Macaca fascicularis: one gene and its partners. The protein of the gene in region 4 purifies or fractionates together with the protein of the main gene of each other region. This does not show direct contact. Links are inferred from orthologs where the notes say so. Each region holds a gene or a part of one and is shown on either strand. Other genes may lie near its edges.

Region 1 (4,437 bases), on a different chromosome or scaffold from region 4:
ATCTTCATCAGTTACTCTGTAGCTGATCTAACTGGGGCCTATGGTAAAACAAAAGGTTATAACCTTGGCCAGACATTTAATGTCTTCCAGCTGTTCTTCATCAGCATCTTCTGGGTACTTTTAATATTACAAGTATGAGATTTGTTTACAGAAGACTCCTTTTATACCAAAGTTAAGGATAAGAATTTAACCAAGAAATTTAACTACTTTCAAAAAGTATAGCATAAGATGGTCTATATTTTTGTCTTAGCATTTGATATGTGGAACTTTTCATATTTTTCAAGGTTTTGTCCATTTCTAAGACCCTCGAACGTGAGAATATTCTTTAAAAAGTTAATTTTTTTTGTTGTTTTTCAGTACTATTTGATAAAAGTCTCACTACTGAATGCCACCTTCTTGATTCGGTAAGTTTTCCAACTTAATTTGACAAGTCCCTTTATACTCTAGATTTGTTTTATAAAATGAATATTGCTTTTCTATTTGTGTACAAGGCCTAAAATGTATATCTTGTCATTGTTTTGCTCACTCACTATTTTTCACAGAATGAAGAAAAAATTTGGTGTTTATATACTTTAAAATGTAATATGTTTTAATATTAAACCCTGAAGATATGTTTCTCTATGTGGTTTTTCTATCAAATTTGCTCTGATAAACTGGATACTTGAATGTCTGAATATATTTCTAGGTGATTCAAGAAAAATATAAGGCAGTTTCTGCCCTTCTGGGGAAATCATGTCTATCCCACCTTCAGTCGTCATTGGTTATTTATGTCCTGCTATTTTAAGTGACTACTTCCCTGCTTTTACTTCTGGTGACCTCTTGCCTCTAAATCTAGTTCAGACAGCCCTTTTGTGAAGCATTCTGTAAAAGCTCTTATCTCTCCCATGTTAATTTATATATAGCTACAGATGCACATAGGCATACAGTGTTTACATTTCATCTCTTATTCAGGGTATAATATGAATGCATTCCAAAAATATAACTTCAGGAATCTAATTCCTTATTAACTGTAAATTCCACATTAAGTAGAGCTGTCCGATTCATACCTTTGATATGGCACGAATTAAAAGTGCTCTCTTTCCTGCTGTTTATATATAGCATTGGTTTCAGCCCCATCCCAGACGTTTTTTTGTTTTGTTGTTTGCAGACAGTTTCACTCTTGCACCCAGGCTGGAGTGCAATGGTGTGATCTTGGCTCACTGCAACCTCTGCCTCCCGGGTTCAAGCAGTTCTCCTGCCTCAGCCTCCCGAGTAGCTGGGATTACAGGTGTCTGCTACCGTGCCTGGCTAATTTTTGTATTTTTTAGTAGAGATGCGGGGTTTCACCATGTTGGCCAGGCTTGTCTTGAACTCTTGACCTCAGGTGAGCCACCGTGCCTGGCCGATATTTTTATTTCAAAGATCTGGAGTAGGGATTTGTCATTTTTTTCTTCATCAGTGATTCTTATGGTTTACACCTCTGGTTTACAGCCTTACCTTGGAATTTTCCAGGACTAACTACTACAGTAGATCAGAAAATGGCCTTGGTTTTATTCTTCTTTAATCTCAGAATGTAAGAAATTCATTCATAAAGCAAATATAGGATCAAACAACCACAGTTTTTGTTAACTTCATGAAACCTGGCAAATACTTAGCTTCCATAAGCCATGAATTCCTTAAAGACCCTTGTGTATCTTGGCTTTCATTATTTTTCAAAGCTGCCTTTTTTGTGGTCAGGCCCTGGGCTGTCCTGTGTCTCAGGAGCAGAATAAAATGTGTTACTGTGACCCGCATACCATTCTTTCTTGGTTTTAGCCTTCTTTAATCATACACTGAGACCTAGAGGATCAGGGCTTTTAGAATAAGGCCAACTTATGTAAACCTGATTTAACCCTGTTCCCAGATCAAACTCTGAATGATTGATTCTGAGAATATATGTTGTTATAAGTAAATCCAGAGATTACCAAATCATAATATTTTAATATATTAGTAATGTGATTAAAAGTACATCACAATTATGTTTTCTCATTGATAGATCTTAGTACCTTATCATTTAGTCTGATTTTTTTCACTTCTGTAAATATTAATATTTAGATGTCTATTTTAGACCCAAATTATTGCTTGCCCCAGTAGCATAATTTGAACTTGAAGCAGGGCTTGAGGGAGTAAAAAGATCTCAGCAGGATCACACAGTAGTAAAAGGGCTATTAAGTGCTATTATATGGTTTAGGATTTATGGAATCTGTGTAAGTGGCTTAAGATATGGCCTCAGTTTTATTCATTCTGCATACACTGGTTGAGTCCATTTACATATTATTCACATTTTATACATATATTCTGAATATACCTTTCCAATTTAAAAATAACTAATATACATTTGAAATAAGATCTGCTAGAAAGTAGCATAATCGTTGTTTATAATTTTATTGTTATATAGGGAAAATATTTACATGTTTCTTTTTGTTTGTTTTTGAGATGGGATCTTGCTATGTTGCTCGGGCTGGTCTTGAAGTCCTGGGTTCAAGTGATCCTACCACCTCAGCCTCCCGAGTAGCTGGGACTACAGGTGTGCACCACCGCACCCGGTTTATTTATGTTATTTATTAATTTACTATAGCAATGTTAAAGAATTACTTGGTGAAACTCGTGATGGATACTTTACTGACTTCTCTGGATTTGTTCTCCAGCCAGGTCTACAGTGCAGTAATCCATTTACTCAGCTGGAGAGGAGACATCAAGAGCATGCCAGACACATTTCTTTTGGTGGTAACTTGATTACTTTTTCACCTCTACAAGGAGAATTTTGAATTTAAAAATAAATCCATTTTCCTTCACATTATCAATGCTTATATATTCTTTAGACTATTGAAATTTTGGAGAAAATGTATTTGTGTTCACTTCTATAGTATCATATAATGTTTTAATACTCTGTTTATCAAAGTGTATTTTAGATATACTCTTTCTCAAGGGAAGTGGGGATATTTTGTACATTTTCAACACAGAATAAAAAATATACTGTGCCTTGCCTCTCTTGTTTGAAAGGAATAAGCTTAAGGCTAAGTATACTTAGCGCTTATAAACATTCTTTAGTTTAATTGAAATATTAACCTGTGACAGAAGTATTTGCATCTTTTTACACTTTATTCTTAGTTTGAAATCCTAAATTTGTTGACATTGAACAGCTTTGGGTATTACATTTTTCCATAGTATTCTGAGTTTCTTTACATGAGCTTTCTGGATTCCGAAGTCAGTTTGACATGCTGCGGTTTCAAACAGTTCAATCATTAGAGGTACCCATTAAGTCCTTGCCTTTTTGTTTTCATTTTCCCATTGGCATGCCCAAGAGACATTGAGGAGATGCTTTTTACTTTTGAAAAAAATCGTGTCAATCATATAACATATCAGTCATATGAACATTTAAAAAACTGGTACAAAGAAACCCAAGATTTACAGTTAATACAAAGCAATATGTGACACAACAATATTTTGCTCTCAAAAATAAAGCAGATCAGAATAAGACAATGTCAGTAAATGTGATCTTTAATAAGATGTATCACTGAGTTGTTTAGAAAGCTTTCAGCTGTTCATGGCCCTGGGCCATTAGAAAACCCTAGTTTATGTATATTTCTTTTTCCTACATGGCTTGTTTGAATTACTCAAACAAGGAATGGACTCGAACTGGCTTAACAGTAAGGAAATTTATTATTTCACAAGTTATCAAAGTGATTCCAGGTACTTTATAATCAATAGCTCAGTGATCACATCAAGGTCCAACTTTCTGTTCCTAGTTCATTCTGTTATCCTTGATGTCGGCTTCTCCTCTACGGCTGGGTCTTTTTGGGGTCATAAGATGGCTGCTATTGGCAGTTAGAGTTATGTTCTTCCCTTTGGCCTGATTAGACCAACTAATGCCACATCCCCATCTGCAGATCAGTAAGCCAGCAGGGGATTGACTTAAATGAATCAGAATTCCCTGTTGAATCTGGGATCACACCTGAATAAAACCTTGGCTCTTAGGAAACAAGGAATAGATATTGGGTAGGCAACCATCAGTGTCCCCTACTAGATAACGTGCTTGGCTATTGGAGTCTAGAATTATGAGGTATTAGGAAAATTTTTAGAGACAAAATGAAAGAAAACTGTTTTGGACAGAGCAAGAGTTCTTAATGCAGTGTATTGTCAGAGGAAAAAAAAAGTTCTTTTCTACCAAAATAGAATGGGAATTGCTATTTATTGAGGACCTACTATTTGACAGTCCCTTTGCAAACAATATTTTACTTAATGTTACAGTAACTCTATAAGACCTGTGCATTTGATAGACAAAGGAACCAAGGCTCAGAGGATTTAAGTAATTTTGTGTAAACCAAGTTCTCTCTTTTCTCCAAAGCTATGTTCTTCCATTTATTTAATAAGAGTAGAAGTCAAGACCCAAATGTTGGGGTAAGGAATTTTTTGAAA
Region 2 (5,242 bases), on a different chromosome or scaffold from region 4:
CTGCCTCCTGGGTTCTAGCGATTCTCATGCCTCAGCCTCCCAAATAGCTGGGATTACAGGTGCTTGCCGCCTGGCCAATGTTTTTTTTGAGACAGCGTCTCGCTTTGTCGCCCAGGCTGGAGTGCAGTGGCGTGATCTCGGCTCACTGCAAGTTCTGCCTCCCAGGTTCACACCATTCTCCTGCCTCAGCCTCCTGAGTAGCTGGGACTACAGGTGCCCGCCACCATGCCCAGCTAATTTTTTATATTTTTAGTAGACTTGGGGTTTCACCATGTTAGCCAGGATGGTCTTGATCTGACCTCGTGATCCGCCTGCCTCGGCCTCCCAAAGTGCTGGGATTACAGGTGTGAGCCACTGCGCCCAGCCTCATCTGGCCAATTTTTGTATCTTTAGTAGAGCCAGGGTTTCGCCGTGTTGGCTAGGCTGGTCTTTGTTTTACTCCTGACCTCAGGTGATCCATCCGCCTCAACCTCCCAAAGTGCTGGGATTACAGGTGTTGAGCCACTGCGCCTGGCCATAATTACCTATATTTCTATTTATTCCAATATAAATGTCTATTTATAAGTAGCAGTGCTGCTGCATTACGTATATTATAAGATATGCGTAAGGATTTCTGAAAGAATAAACAAATAAGCATGAATGGAAATTCTAATTTTTTTTTTCCCACCCACCAGAAGATTGTCTTGGTGACCCTTAGGAACTGCTCCCCCATTCCTGGGATGGTGGCTGGGCCGTGACTTGGCTTGGGCACTTGGTGTCTGGCCTGGGGCTGGTGGCATCAGGGCTGCCACACCTCCAGTTCATTCATTTGCATTCCTTGTCAGGTTCCTAAGTAAAGCTCCTGGAGAACTTGGCTTTGGACAAGGACTCCCCACACTTACGCTGAATTGGGCTGCTTCTCTGGTTTACGGAAGCAGTTAAACAAATGGCTAGGTGCGCCTCAATTCGGGTTTTTCTCTGGGCACCTCTGGTGCTAGCAGGGTTTACCCAGGCTGGACTGGAGTTCTCCGGGGACCCACTTTGGCCCCCATGTGCCTCTGTGGTCGTTGCTGGGGCACTGCGTGTCGTGATGAGGATCCACTTGGTCGTATTTATGAGTCTCAGGGAGGTGGCTTCCCCCTGACCCCAAAGGCTCCTGGAGCAAGAGCCATCCAGGGCCAGCATCTCTAGGTGATGTTGATAGATGGGAAATGCAGCTGAGTGGGAGGAGGAATTCTAGACTTTGAGCCTAGATGGGCTGGAGTGAAGGATGGATGTGCTGGGTGTGGGGATGGGCACAGCTGGGTGGGGAGTCTGGGGTCCGGAATTCTCCAGAGCCTCTGTGCCTCCACTTCGCAGGAGCCAGCTCCCGTGCTGTCCTCCCCACCTCCTGCAGACGTCTCCACCTTCCTGGCTTTTCCCTCTCCAGAGAAGCTGCTGCGCCTGGGGCCCAAGAGCTCCATGTTGATAGCCCAGCAGGTAATAACCACACCTTGCCCCCCACCCTGTACTTGCCGTGGCTTCTGGAGCTGTTAGAGAAAAGGGACGAACAGCTCAGGGACCTGGGGGTGCGACACTGTCAGCTGGGGGCAGGGAGGCTTGGCCTGCCACTGTTAGAACACACACAAATGTCCAGGGTATTTATAAGCCTCCAGGGGTTGCAAATGTTCCCTCCTCACTCGGCCTACAGAAAGTGCAGCCCGCCAGTTCCCATGCTGACTGGGGTTAGGGAATTTCCTCAGGACTCTTGCATGTGCCCACCCCCTCCTGGGCTTCTCTCTGCATGTTCTGTCAGCCCAGCTGCTTGGAGAACAGCTCTGTTGCCCGGGGCCCCTCTGGGAGTGGCGTGCCTATTGCAGGATGGGTGAGAATAGCTCTGTTGCCCGGGGCCCCTCTGGGAGTGGCGTGCCTGTTGCAGGATGGCGCCCTCACTCCAGCCTAACTTGTTGGCTGGCTCATTCATTCATTCAGAGGTGATCTTTGGGGCATCCATTTTCTGTCAGGTACTGTATTTGGGCATGATTTTATTTAACCCTCTTGACAACTTGAAATGTAGACTTTGCTGCCCTTATTTTACAGATAAGAAAACAGAGGCTCGGAGGTATAGAGAAATAAAATGGGCGCACTCTCAGCGTTGGCTTAACATTTCGGCCAATTGCTTTGTTAGGTTTTGCCTGTGTTCTTTGTTTCTTTTAACATGATAAATAAGATGATGTAAGCCTTTTTGTGGCCTATCACTTTGGCTTAACACCATTCATCACTTTCTTGGGCCCCTAAAACTCTTCTCATGATTTTTATTCCAATGCATGGATGTAGCACTTAAAATCCAGGCACTATTTCTGGACGTTTTCCCTGGCCCACTTTTCCCTGTTGTCAGTGAGGTTGAGGTAAACTTCTCTGCATGTGAGTATCATCTACATCCTAGATTATTTCTTCAAGATGGGGACCACTGGGTCCCTGAAATGATCTTTTTGTGTGTGTGAGACACTGTTTTGCTTTGTCACTCTGGCTGGAGTCCAGTGGTGCAGTCGTGGCTCATTGCAACCTCAACCTCCTGAGCTCAAGCAGTCCTCCTGCCTCAGCCTCCCAAGTAGCTGAGACTATAGGCACACACCACCACCCTTGGCTAGTTTTTTTCCTTTTTGTTGACATGGGGTCTTGCTATGTTGCCCAGGCTGGTCTCAAACTTTTGGCCTCAAGCCATTCTCCCACCTCAGCCTCCCAAAGTGCTGGGGTTACAGGCATGAGCCACTGCACCTGGCTGGGATGATTTTTCATCCTTGTTCATTCACTCATTCATTCCCTCTCTATGCTGCATATTTGCTTGCTGCAGGCCAAGTCCAAGCCAGACTCTGAAGGGACAGCATGGGGTAAGGCAGGACCTGTCCTTGCCTGCCAGGGGCTGGTGTACTGCCTGGGCCTCTCCTAGCTAGTGGCAGAGCCCAGGGACATCTCCCCCATGTGCCACAGGCCAACCATTGTCTCTTATGTCCTCAGACTGACACGTCTGACCCCGAGAAGGTGGTCTCTGCCTTCCTAAAGGTGTCATCTGTGTTCAAGGACGAAGCTACTGTGAGGACGGCAGTGCAGGATGCAGTAGGTAATGTGGGCTGGGTGAGGCCGGGGTGCCCGCTGGCCCTTGATGCTCGTGAGGCCCCGGGCCCTTTGTGGTCGCCGTCACTCGTCAGCCCCAGTGCTGTCATGGGAACTGCTCTTTGAGACCCTGTGCTGCTCCTCCATCAGGGTCCTGCCATGGTCCTGCCGTGGAGCCAGGTGGGTGCTCGTCTCCCTGTTTTTCACCACTGAGAAACTGAGGCCTTTCTCAAATCCACACAGCCATATAGAGTTAGAACCCAGAGCCCGCTCTAGGAAGGCCAGATAGTCACATCCGCAAGCCCGATGGACGCAGGTCTGTCGGGAGGAGGGATGCTGAGAGCTGAGCCCTTGTGCGTACCTCAGAGCCTCTGTGCTCATGTCCATTCTACCTGGAGCTTCCCTGCACAGAGGACACCTTTCCCTGTAACATTATGGGGCCTTCTCGGAGCACCAGCCCACGTCCCTCCTGCCCTATGGCAACCCTGTCCCCACCCTGTCTGTTTCCTCCATTCCAGCACCTGTCACCTTCCACCCTGTGCTTGACTGAGGCAGAGGGGAGGAAGGGCCCTGAGGCAAGGGGCGCGGCTCCTGGAAAAGGATAGAAAGGGGTGGAAGGACATGTGGTGCCTCTTCCTGGCCTCTACTGTGGGTGGCGTTAAAGTGGGGAGGGCAGCTCAGTGGGAAGGGAGGCTTGGAAGGAGGTGGGGCCAGACACAAGCCTGCTCCCTGAGGGCCTGCCCGGGGGCATTTATGGGAACAAGTTGCCCTAGTTCTGTTGCCCAGGAAGCCTAGCACAGTCCCCTCACATCCCCTCCACCCACCCCACCAAAATAACCTGAATCCTCCCCCAGTGGTGGCCTGCCTCAGGAAATCTCCACTCCCACGGTGTGAGGTGGGCACAGTGGCTGTCATCCCCACACCCATGTTACACCTGAGGCCAGGATGGGGAAGGGCCAGAGTGTCACAGCTGGTAGATGGACTGAGCCCATCCCCTGATGCCAACTGCCCCTCCCTCTGGTTCCTGTGTCTCTGCCATCCCTCTTGTGTTCGCCTCTTCGTCAGGGCAAGGAGGCAGGCGAGCCTGTGTGTGCGCGGTGTGGGGGGAGCCTTGGGTGCCTTGGCACAGCGCTCTGCCGTAGCCAGCAGCCTGCCCCTGCTACTTCTGCCCTACAGATGCCCTGATGAAGAAGGCTTTCAGCTCCTCGTCCTTCAACTCCAGCGCCTTCCTCACCAGGCTCCTCGCACACATGGGTCTACTCAAGGTGAGGCCGGAAGGAGCAGCAGGCGCGGGAGGGAGGTGGGCGAGGTCTGCACAGAAGCTGCCCCAGCCATGCCTGCCAGCCTCCCTCACCTCGAGTCCTGAGCCGTCTCACCCACTGGGCCCTGAGGCCTGGGTCCGCCCCAGCAGCCTCGATCTTCATGATGAGGTTCCGGCTGGACTCAGTTGTGAGCACCGCCCGCAGAGTCTGGATGGTGGAGTCCAGGGGCCGCCCAGGTGAACTTGACGCTCACCCCGCCTTTCGCTGTGTTCCCCTCACAGAGTGAAGATAAGGTCAAGGCCATTGCCAACCTGTACGGCCCCCTGATGGCACTGAACCACATGGTGCAGCAGGACTATTTCCCCAAGGCCCTTGCACCCCTGCTGCTGGCATTCATAACCAAGTGAGTGTGGCCCTGTTGTCCTTCTGCCGCGGCCTGTCCTCTCAGGCTTCTCTGGCCAGGTCCAAAGGCCTCCAGTCCCAGGAGGTCCAGCCCAGCCAGCCTGCTGGCCCTGCTCGGGTGCACAAGAGGCCCTCATGCTTCCTGGGCTCTCAGCATCTGTGTTGGAGTCTCACCACCCTCGGGAGGCCCGCTCCCCTCTGCCTAGCTGAGGACAGTAGGGCTCAGGGGCAGTGAGAGAGGAGACATGTAACGCCCCCATTTTGCCGATGAGGAAAGGAGCACCGGGTTGGTTAAAGAGTTTCCCTTGGTCACACACTAGGAAGAGGCTGGGCCAGTGTCCAGACCCACGTCTGTGAGCAAGGTGCTATGCGTGGTGACATCTCTGGAGGGGCTTTTTGTCCATGCTCACAGTAGTGCAGGCCGAAGGGGCCCAGTCACACTAGGCCCTGCAGCCCCAGGCCCTCTCCTGGGGACACACATTGCCCCGGGAGCCGCCAAAATGCCC
Region 3 (5,242 bases), on a different chromosome or scaffold from region 4:
AAACAGAGATGGGGTCTCGCTGTGCTGCCCAGGCTCGTCTCAAACTCCTGTGCCCAAGCCATCTGCCCATCTCAGCCTCCCAAAGTGCTGGGATTACAGGCATGAGCCACTGCACCTGGCCAACTTTCTGTATTTTTATTTTATGTATTTATTTTTTTTGAGACAGAGTCTTGCTTTGTTTCCAGGCTGGAGTGCAATGGTGCAGTCTCGGCTCACTGCAACCTCCGCCTCCCGTTTTCAAGCAATTCTCCTGCCTCAGCTTCCCGAGTAGCTGGGATCACAGGCACACCCCACCTCGCCCAGCTAATTTTTGTATTTTTAGTAGAGACGGGGTTTCACCATGTTGGCCAGGATGGTCTCGATCTCTTGGACTCATGATCCACCTGCCTCAGCCTCTCAACGTGCTGGGATTACAGGTGTGAGCCACTGGGCTCCACAGGCGTCAGAAAATTTCTGAATGCCTACTTGAAGCATATGAACTGTAATCGTAGGAATGCTGTAACTAATTCTTTGTGCTCCTTATGTGCTATTTCTACAACCACCTTGGCAGAGCCTACCATGTGAAAATGCTCTGTTAACTTACACATATTTCTTTTTCCTTTCTTTTTTTTTTTTTTTTTTTAAAGAGATGGAGTCTCACTCTATTGCCCAGGCTGGAGTGCAGTGGTGCGATCTTGGCTCACTGCAAGCTCCGCTTCCCGGGTTCATGCCATTCTCCTACCTCAACCTCCGAAGTTGCTGGAACTACAGGCACCCGCCACTACGCCCGGCCAACTTTTTGTATTTTTAGTAGAGACGGGATTTCACCATGTTAGCCAGGATGGTCTCAATCTCCTGACCTCGCAATCCGTCCGCCTAGACCTCCCAAAGTGCTGGGATTACAGGCGTGAGCCACCATGCCCGGTCACATATTTCTTAATGAGAACTTTTTTGATATCCTTCATTATTTCTGTGTCTTTGGATTTAGGTAACAAAGATTCAAAGGTACCTTCAAAAAGAAAGAAATCTGTCTACACGGATGAGTCATCCAAACGTGGAAAAAATAAAAGAACTGCAATCACTACTCCTACTCCAAGTAAGTTTTGTAGGCAAAGCCATAATAAGTAATGGTTGCCCCACTTCAAACTGATGTTGGACTGGAACAGCTAAAAGCATAGAGGCTGGAACCAGTTTACATTCTAGTTCTCTCATCTTTTAGGCTTAAGATCTTGGGGAAATTACTCATCTTCAATAAACTCACTTCCTCAGTGTAAAGTGGAAATAGTTATACTATAGTACCTATTTCTTTTTTTTTTTCTTTTTTTTTTTTTGAGACAGGGTCTTGCTCTCTCGCCTAGGCTAGAGTGCAGTGGCGTGATCTTGGCTCACTGCAACCTCTGCCTCCCAGGTTCAAGTGATTCTCCTGCCTCAGCCTCCCGAGTAGCTGGGACTACAGGTGTGCTCCACCACGACCAGCTGATTTTTGTATTTTCAGAAGAGACGGGGCTTCACCATGTTGGCCAGCATGGTCTCGATCTCTTGACCTCGTGATCTGCCTGCCTCAGCCTCCCAAAGTGCTGAGATTCCAGGTGTGAGCCACCCTGCCTGGCCTATAGTACCTATTTCATCAGGTTGATAGATACATAAATTGAGAATACTTTTTCCACTACTGCTTCCCTATCATGGCAAATAGCATGCAGCAAGGATTCAATAAACATCTGATGAATGAATGTACGAAGTACTTGGTACAATGCCCACCTTCTAATAAGTTTTTCATAAGTCTAAATGACTCTGTTTTTGGACATGTAATTCTTCTTCTCTCTTGTATTGTTGGAACATTGCTTGGCACATAGAATGTTGATTATTATATTTATAGTAGTTACAATGCTGCTCATCTTATATTCAAAATTCAGTAAATGTTCATATACTTAATCAGAACAGGATACAGCAGGGGTCAGCAAACTGCTGCCTCCCTTGGCCTGTCTTATATCCTTTGAGCTAATAATGGTTTTTATATTTTTTAAAGAATTTAAAAACAAGAAGAATGGCCAGGCATGGTTCTCACACCTGTAATCCCAGCACGTTGGGAGGTGCAGGGGGGTGGATCACCTGAAGTCGGGAGTTTGAGAACAGACTGGCCAGCATGGTAAAACCCCGTCTCTACTAAAAATACAAAAAAATTAGCTGGATATGGTGGCAAGTGCCTTTAACCCCAGCTACTCAGAAAACTGAGGCAGGAGAATCGCTTGAACCCAGGAGGCGGAGGTTGCAGTAAGCCAAGATCACGCCATTGCACTCTAGCCTGGGTAACAGAGCAAGACTCCATCTCAAAAAAAATAAATAAAAACAAGAAGAATATGAGACAGAGACCATATCACATGTTGCCATAAGGCCTAAAATACTTTTTTTGTTTGTTTTCTTTTTGTTTTTGAGATGAAGGTTTGCTCTTATTGCCCAGGCTGGATACCTCCCGGGTTCAAGCGATTCTCCTGCTTCAGTGTCCTGAGTAGCTGGGATTACAGGCATGTGCCACCACACCCGGCTAATTTTTGTATTTTTAGTAGACAGGGTTTCTCCATGTTGTTCAGGCTGGTCTCGAGCTCCCGACCTCAGGTGATCTGCCCACCTTGGCCTCCCAAAGTTCTGGAATTACAGTTGGGAGCCACCATGCCCAGCCAAGCCTTAAATACTTTTATCTAGCCCTTTATAGAATAAGTTTATCAGTCGTTGACATACAGCATTATAAAATATCAAATTCATGATTAAATAAAGACCACTTGTGACTAATTGGTAAGGGAGAAGATAAATCTTCTACTGTCATCCTCTGGACTAAACCAAGATGTCAATTTAGTGAAATTTGTCAATGAGGAGATGGTGAATGTTTGATAGTTTATAAGACGAATGTGCTTTGCCCCTGAGTTTCCAAAAACTAAGTATTTTGAAATTAATGTTTTAGCAAAAATTATATTGAAGTTGAATATCAGGGATGCAAAAAAGAGAATAAGTGTTAACGGAAAAACACAGAGAAGGTAAATGGATTTTGTTTTGTTACTAACTTTTATATTGGGGGAACATTCTAGACTTTAAGAAGCTTCATGAAGCTCATTTTAAGGAAATGGAGTCCATCGATCAATATATTGAGAGAAAAAAGAAACATTTTGAAGAACGCAATTCCATGAATGATCTGAAGGTATGTAGATAAAATTATGTTCTTAATGGGACTAAACTGTTTGATTATAATTTTGAAACTATATAACACCATGGTTACAACAACTGGCTATCACTCTACCAGTAGATTTGTTTGAGTTTAATATATCTTTATCTGGCCGGGCGCGGTGGCTCAAGCCTGTAATCCCAGCACTTTGGGAGGCCGAGGCGGGCGGATCACAAGGTCAGGAGATCGAGACCACAGTGAAACCCCGTCTCTACTAAAAATACAAAAAATTAGCCGGGCGCGGTGGCGGGCGCCTGTAGTCCCAGCTACTCAGGAGGCTGAGGCAGGAGAATGGCGGGAACCCGGGAGGCGGAGCTTGCAGTGAGCCGAGATCGCGCCACTGCACTCCAGCCTGGGCAACAGCGTGAGACTCCGTCTCAAAAAAAAAATATATATATATATATATCTTTATCTAAAACTTGCTTTCCCCTACTCTGAGAATTTTCAAAATCCTCTGGATAAAACTGAATCCATGGCCAAGCGCAGTGTCTCATGCCTGCAATCCTAGCATTTTGGGAGGCCAAGGCAGGTGGATTACCTCAGATCAGGAGTTCAAGGCCAGCCTGGCCAACATGGTGAAACCCTGTCTCTACAAAAAAATACAAAAAATTAGCAGGGGTTGGCACACGCCTGTAATCCCAGCTACTCAGGAGGCTGAGGCAGGAGAATCACTTGAACCAGGAGGCCAAGGTTACAGTGAGCCAAGATCATGCCACTGTGCTCCAGCCTGGGTGACAGAGTGAGACTCCGTCTGAAAAAACAGAAAACAGTGAATCCTGACTATGAGAAACTATTTCCAAAATGGCAATGTCATTCTACTTTCCATATTCAGATGTTTTGCCTATTACTTTCATTGAGGATGAACCAACTTATGGCTGAAGCCGTCTTCTTTCCCTTGTCCCTTATGTAAAGAAAAATGGGTGATTAATAGTGGCAAAGCTGAAGGGTTCCTGTGGTAACAGCTCCCTCTAGGGCTTTCAGTCCAGGTCCCACAGGACTCAAAGCCTCCTCAAAGTAAGAGAAGGTGATAAAGTCAACTCTGAGACTGAGTTAGCAGAGTAGTGAGTTAATAACATTCTAGCAAGTTGATGTTATTGGTATCTGGTGTTAAGGCAGTGCCAAAGGGAGGGCAAGAAACACATTTTAAAATATTGATTGATTTATGTATTTTTCTTATAAAGTCAGGGTCTCCCTGTGATGCCCAGGCTCTCCTTGAATGCCTAGGCTCAAGTGATCCTCCCACCTCAGCCTCCCAAAGTGCTGGGATTACAGGTGTGAGCCACCAGATTATATTTATTTCTATTCGCTGTATTTAATTCTTAACCCCATGTTTATGTTACATAACTTCCCTATTTCTTAAAAATAATTTAAGGCCTATTCTCAAAATAATTTAAGTTTATGGTATTAAATATAAAATAGTATAGTCAATTTAAAAGCACTGTTAGTGGGTACAGTATTGATTACCATCAGTCTCTCAGCTGAGTTTAAGTTTTCTGGCAGCTAGGGCCAAGAGGAAAACTCACTGGGTGATAAGTTGTAAATAATTTTATTTAAGTACCTAAGCTTCTTGGTGAGAAGCTTCATTGAAATAATAAACATTCATTTTAACAATGTAAAACCACTGTTACAATTTTTTTTTCTTTTTTTTTTTGAGACAGAGTTTTGCTCTTGTTGCCCAGGCTGGAGGGCAATGGTACGGTCTCAGCTCACTGCAACCACTTCTGCCTTCCTAATTCAAGCGATTCTCCTGCCTTAGCCTCCCCAGTAGCTGAGATTACGGGCACCCGCCACCACACCCAGCTAATTTTTATATTTTTAGTAGAGATGGGATTTCATTATGTTTGGCCAGGCTGGTCTCGAACTCCTGACCTTAGGTGATCAACCCACCTCCCAAAGTGCTGGTATTACAGGCATGAGCCACCGCTCCCATCCTCATTGTTACCACATTTGAAGGCCCTGTTTATCAAACTTTTTTTTTTTTTTTTTTTGAGATGCAGTCTCACTCTGTCACCCAGGCTGGAGTGCAGTGGTGCCATCTTGGCTAAACCT
Region 4 (5,709 bases):
GATTTAAACAGCAGAAGTTCAACAAGAGCCAGGTGCTGGTTGACTGGATAATCACTTGGGGAGACAGTTTAAAAAACATCCCTTGGCCAGGCGCAGTGGCTCACGCCTGTAATCCCAGCACTTTGGGAGGCCGAGGTAGATGGATCATGAGGTCAGGAGTTCAAGACCACTCTAGCCAAGATGGTGAACCCCCGTCTCTACTAAAAATACAAAAATTAGCTGGGCGTGGTGACGGGTGCCTGTAATCCCAGCTACTTGGGAGGCTGAGGCAGATAACATCTTGAACCCGGGAGGCAGAGGTTGCAGTGAGCCAAGATCATGCCATTGCACTCCAGCCTGGGCAACAGAGCAAGACTCCGTCTCCAAAAAAAACCAAAAAAGTGCCTGAGCTGTACTCCAGAAGTACCAAATCGGAGTTTCTGGAGAGCTGGGAAATACGTATTAACAAATTCCCTAAGTGATGTGGGTATACAGCACCAATTTATACACTACTCCCATTTGTCAAACAGATTTTTACAAATTATGACACACAATTAAAGTTTCCCAAGCTGCTGCAGCCTACCTCAATCATCTAAAAAGAATTCCAATCCATCAATGGGAATGGACAAGCTGTGTTGAGAAAGATTTAAGACAAAGACAATTTTTATCTTTAGGTGAAGTTCAAGTCCCAGAAACCTATCACACTGTCAGCTCTATCCCATGCAAATAGCAAAAGATCTGAGAAAGCAATTTCTTGTTCTCTAGGTAATATAACCAAACAGATGAGTGTTACTCACATAGTTCTTGACTTCTCGTCGAGCATTAGCATCAATAGCAAGCCACCTCTGCTGATATTGTGCCTTGATATCTGGATCTTTAGATGTCAAAGAGTTCTTGATTTGTAGACCAGCTGCAACTCTGGCAACCTGACTATTTCCTGGATTTGCCAGCACTCTGGACAGTTCCACAAGGAAAGTGGGCTGTTAAGGGAAGATAAATTTGTAAATAAAATTATCTTAGGAATTTCCACAACTGAGAATAATTTATGGAGCACTGAACCACCGGAGGAGGGGTGAGGTGGGGGGGGAACTAATGTCTAATTTTTTTTTGGTATATCATAAGCATCTCAGGAAACCACAAAATACCTACTACAAGACTTCTACAAAAATGTTACTTAGTATATAACAGGAAGTCTTCCACTTTTCTCATGGAGCCTAGCACTTAATGAGGAATTGCAGATTTTCCTATCAAAATCATTCCTAGTACCCAAATTGTCACGTTATACCCCCTGAATTGCAAGGTTTTAGAGTATGGTAGTAGTTAGTCTTCTGTGTATACTGAGGTGTCCCAAGAATTCTTAATAATGTCTGGTACTTGAATGAATGGCTGTTACGATGCGGGTAGAAAATAAAACTGTTTATCTAAATTTCAAAAACCTTGGTCCCAAAAGAATGATCCAAGTTTCCATCTCATGGCAGCAGCAGGGTAGCTTTTCATCCCATGGAAGGAGGTGATCTTTTATGAGAGAGGGAAATATAGATAAGCCTAAACAAACTTAGGAGCCTCATCCTCCGTTTTATTTGTGGGCACTCAGCAAAAAGGGAACAACGAAAAAAGCGGATTTACAAGGAAAATTGGTAAGATATTTAGAAATAGGGAAAAAGTGAAAGAAAAAAATGTTCAGGCAAGCTGTTCAAGAAAAATAACTTTGTATCTAATAATCAACAATTACTTGCTCCTATACATTTGGACTTTAGTTGAGGAATACAGTGGATCCCTGAAAAGCATGTTCTTTTGTAACCTTTTGTAATCCACAGGCCTCAAAAACTACTCCCTTTGTTTAAAAATTTAACACACACACCTCTCTCTCCAGCAAAAAAACCGTGCCCAAACAGCAAAGTTAGCAGGAAAAGCCAAAAGCAGATACATTTTTCTTACTGCTAACAAGTTCTGCAATCACAGCAGAAGATAATTCTTAAAAGTTTTATTAATTATGTACCACTAAAGAATGTTAAGAATGTTAGGAATAAGATAAAAAGCTTCTTGCAAAATTAGCAAAAGCAGAAACAGGAATAATACCCTAAATGGAATTATCAGCCTATACTAGTGGAAAAATCTATTCTAGGAAAGGATAAACAGGTTAGTTGTAAAAATTGGCACATATGAAGAACAAAAAAAAAATCATTCAAAGGCAGCCTGTATAAAATAAGCCTTGTCACTTTGTTGATGTTGACATTTTGCCTATATAACACAAAGAAACACATATGGTTACAATGTTATTCAGACTTATTTCCTATTACCTTTCTCAAAGATGTCAAGCATCATCCAATCCTTCCCTCTGACCCCATCTCCCAATAGGAGATGGACACCAAAGAGAAACTTAACTGGCATCTAGGCTGTTTCAACCAATCCATCCTACATTTTTATACAAAGGACCAGTCTCTAGCGGACTTAGCTTCATTTTCTCCGGACCCCTTAAATTTTAAAATATGAAAAACGAGTAACTTTCCTCTGTGATTTCATCAGGAAACAGGCCCGATCTCAAAGATGAGCCTCACACTGTTGTCTGGGTGCAGATCCCTAGTGATTAGGTTTCTATTCATCCAGGTCAGAAGGAAAGGGAAAAAAAAAAAAAGGAAGAAAAAGAAAATACCCCGAGAGGAATAACCGGGCAGAAGAGGGAAAAATATTAGTGGAAATGGGTTAAGAGGCAGTCGGGTGCCAGGCCTGGCCATGAGCACACACCAAGGTAGCGAGGAAAGGGCAGAGCTCTAGGAAATAGGTGGGGAGAGCCACAGGGGCCACGGGACAGGAAGGATAAGCCGGCCGGGGTCAAACAGGGAGGGCAACCGGGCCCAGAGCTTCCACATGGCCCCTAGGCCTGACTCCCCCACCCCCACCTCTGCTGAACACGCAGCGCCGCGCAACCTAACTTCCCTTCCCTCCCTCTTTCTCCCTCCCGCTGCACCGCCGCCCTCAGGCCGCGCAATGATTGGGCGACAGGCAGCCCGGCGCGCCCCGCCATTGGCCAGTCGCAGGGCCCGGGGCGGGACACACCCACCGGCTTCCCGATGGCGGGGTTAGGTTGGACCGGGTTGGGGGGGAGGGGGACGGGATGGGGCGGGGTAGGTTCCCGAGGCCTGGGCCTCCCGGAGGGCGGGAAGGCCCCGCACGCAGGGGATGGGGACGCGGCGGGATGGGCGCGGCGGGGTAGCACGCACCAGGTTCTCCACGGCCGCACGCTCCAGGAACTTCTGCGCCGCTTCCAGCTCCAGCCGATCTGGGGGGAGGAAAGTGGGAGACGGAGCGGGGTCAGAGGGGCCGGGCCTCCCCTCCCCCACCCCAATCACCTCAGCCCGACCCCCGGCTCCTGCGTCCTACCGGGAGACACGGTCTTCTCGAGGATGGTGATCAGCTCCATGGCGGAGGTGGCGGCGGCGGCGACTCCTCCTAAGACGACGGCCCGGCCTTTCGGGCGGCGGCTCGAACTGGGGATGGGGGTTGGGGGTCGGGTGGGAAGGGAGGGTGGGGTGGGGGGCGGGGGTCACCACAAGCCCATTCACCGGCTCTTTCTGGGTAGTCGCTCCAGCTCCCCTTAGTCTCTTCTTCTCTTACTTCCTCCCTCCGAATGGGCTGCTGGCAGCGGGGGAGGGACCCCGGGGGCAGCTCAGAGCGCGCTGGTGCTCGGAAGGCGGAGGGAGAAAGAAGGAAGAGAAGCTGTGAGTGAGAGGCGGCACGCAGGGAGGGAGCGAGGGCGGGAGGAAGGCGGAGGGATATTCGGGCCGGACCTCGCCGCGGCGGCGCCGCGCTCCACGGCGATTGGCCGCTGTTCTGGCCACGCGGAATCCCCAATTGGCCAGGCGCTCAGCGTCGAAAGGCCGCCTTTCGCCCATTCGCCTGCTGGTTTCAAGGCCCGGGGTGGCTGGGCGGGCAGGGGAATGGAGCGCCCTAATTGGCCGAGGGGAGGGAGATTGGGATGGGGCCGGAGAGAGCCCGCCGCTGATTGGGTTGGGCTTGGTAAAGGCCTTGAGCTCAGACCGGCTGAGCGCCGAGGAGGGTGGACCGAAGGCACGACTCGGAGCCTGCGCGATTGGCTGGGATAGTGGGCGTTGATAGGATAGGGTGCCTGGGAGAACTGGGGAGAGGAGTTCGGGGTCGGGGCGCGGGAAGGCGGGAGGCGCCCGGCTGCCCTCGGAGCCCGGCGCGGGGCACGATGGGACGCCCCCGGGAAGAGGCGGAGCTGGGTTCGACCGCTGGGGCTGCGGTTGGGTAAGCGCCGTCGCTCCGAGGGGCGTGTTGAGCGAGGCTTTCGCGGGCGTGAGCGGGGGAGGGGGGACCGTTGAAGTCCTGCGCCGCGCCCGCAGGAAGCTGCTTTAATGGCTAAGTCGGCTTGGTACCCTGCTCTTGGCTGGGACGGATCCGTAAGGCCATGTGGCTCCACTTGAAATGTGTAGATGTGGAAACTGAAGCCCAGAGAGGGTATGGAACTTGCCCAAAGTCACACAGCCGGTTAGCGGCTTGGTAAGGAATGGGTTCAGGAGCCTAGAGGGTATGGAACTTGTCCAAGGTCGTACAGCTGGTTAGTGGCTTGATAAGCTCAAGCTCTGCTGACTGCCGTTGTCCCTACAAGCAGCTTTCTCTCCAAGGAGTCCCCTAGGCCTGCTTATATAGGGCTTGAGACCTGTACTAAGTCTGACTTGCTTAGGGGTGAGCTAAGGGAATCCTACACTTAGACACCCCATCCTTGACAGAATGGAAATGCTTCACCCTGTAAAGGCTCAACCTCGAACCAGAAAGAATGTGTGTACAGGCATAAAGGATCGTGGTTCTTGACCTGTTTTAGTTCTGAACTCCTGAAGAAACTCATGAATGCCTTTTCTTAGCAAAATGCATATAAAGAAAATGTGGGCCGGATGCGGTGGCTGATGCCTGTAATCCCAGCACTTTGGGAGGCCGAGCGGGGCGGATCACGAGTCGGAGACCATCCTGGCCAACATGGTGAAACCCTGTCTCTACTAAAATACAAAAAAATAGCCCGGCGTGGTGGCGCATGCCTATAGTCCCAGCTACTCCTGAGGCCGAGGCAGGACGATCTCTTGAACCCTGGAGGCAGAGGTTGCAGTGAGCCGATATCGCGCTCCGTCTCAAAGAAAAGAAAAAAATGTGCATACAGTATCTTGACTTTCTTTGACATTGGTAAGTGGGCTGTAGGTTAAGAATTTCCTAGGCTGGGAGCAGTGGCACAGACCTGTAATCCCAGGACTTTGGGAGGATCGCTTGAGCCCAGGAGTTCAAGACTAAGCTGGACAACGTAACGAGATCCTGTAAAGATTTTTAAAATGATAAAGGAAAAGTGTAATAATGGGGCCGGGTGCAGTTGCTCATGCCTGTAATCCCAGCACTTTGGGAGGCCGAGGCGGGCGGACTTGAGGTCAGGAGTTCGAGACCAGTCTGGCCAACATGGTGAAACCCTGTCTCTACTACAAAATACAAAAAAAAAAAAAAAAAAAAGCTAGCCGAGCATGGTGGCACACGCCTGTAATCCCAGCTCTTTGGGAGGCTGAGATGGGAGAATCTCTGGAACCTGGGAGGTGGAGGTTGCAGTGAGCCGAGGCTTCACTACTGCACTCCAGCCTGGGCGACAGTAAGACTCTCAAAAAAAAATAAATAAATAAATGGGAACAAAGAATTTCTTGAATTGTTTCGTTTTCACAGTACTGGTGTAGGGGT

The links.
Region 1: the proteins of KPNB1 (region 4) and DLGAP5 purify together in Homo sapiens (affinity purification with mass spectrometry; 4 studies listed by BioGRID and IntAct, with this or other methods). This does not show direct contact. The link is inferred for Macaca fascicularis from reciprocal best matches to the Homo sapiens genes KPNB1 and DLGAP5.
Region 2: the proteins of KPNB1 (region 4) and RANGAP1 purify together in Homo sapiens (affinity purification with mass spectrometry; 3 studies listed by BioGRID and IntAct, with this or other methods). This does not show direct contact. The link is inferred for Macaca fascicularis from reciprocal best matches to the Homo sapiens genes KPNB1 and RANGAP1.
Region 3: the proteins of KPNB1 (region 4) and NUSAP1 purify together in Homo sapiens (affinity purification with mass spectrometry; 3 studies listed by BioGRID and IntAct, counting the BioPlex papers as one, with this or other methods). This does not show direct contact. The link is inferred for Macaca fascicularis from reciprocal best matches to the Homo sapiens genes KPNB1 and NUSAP1.

What each region holds. Positions count from the first base shown.
Region 1 is NC_088381.1:123,007,974-123,012,410, reverse strand, and holds the end of DLGAP5 (disks large-associated protein 5), read left to right. Parts: intron 1-357; coding exon 358-404; intron 405-2,454; coding exon of another isoform or gene 2,455-2,545; intron 2,546-2,666; coding exon 2,667-2,786; 3' UTR 2,787-2,999; downstream 3,000-4,437. UniProt on the Homo sapiens protein: Potential cell cycle regulator that may play a role in carcinogenesis of cancer cells. Mitotic phosphoprotein regulated by the ubiquitin-proteasome pathway.
Region 2 is NC_088384.1:10,359,906-10,365,147, forward strand, and holds part of RANGAP1 (ran GTPase-activating protein 1), read left to right. Parts: intron 1-1,338; coding exon 1,339-1,458; intron 1,459-2,976; coding exon 2,977-3,079; exon of another isoform or gene 3,080-3,252; intron 3,253-4,248; coding exon 4,249-4,337; intron 4,338-4,615; coding exon 4,616-4,737; intron 4,738-5,242. UniProt on the Homo sapiens protein: GTPase activator for RAN. Converts cytoplasmic GTP-bound RAN to GDP-bound RAN, which is essential for RAN-mediated nuclear import and export. Mediates dissociation of cargo from nuclear export complexes containing XPO1, RAN and RANBP2 after nuclear export.
Region 3 is NC_088381.1:17,906,968-17,912,209, forward strand, and holds part of NUSAP1 (nucleolar and spindle-associated protein 1), read left to right. Parts: intron 1-967; coding exon 968-1,075; intron 1,076-3,059; coding exon 3,060-3,169; intron 3,170-5,242. UniProt on the Homo sapiens protein: Microtubule-associated protein with the capacity to bundle and stabilize microtubules. May associate with chromosomes and promote the organization of mitotic spindle microtubules around them.
Region 4 is NC_088390.1:59,087,995-59,093,703, forward strand, and holds the start of KPNB1 (importin subunit beta-1), read right to left. Parts: upstream 3,741-5,709; 5' UTR 3,401-3,740; coding exon 3,361-3,400; intron 3,260-3,360; coding exon 3,201-3,259; intron 960-3,200; coding exon 777-959; intron 1-776.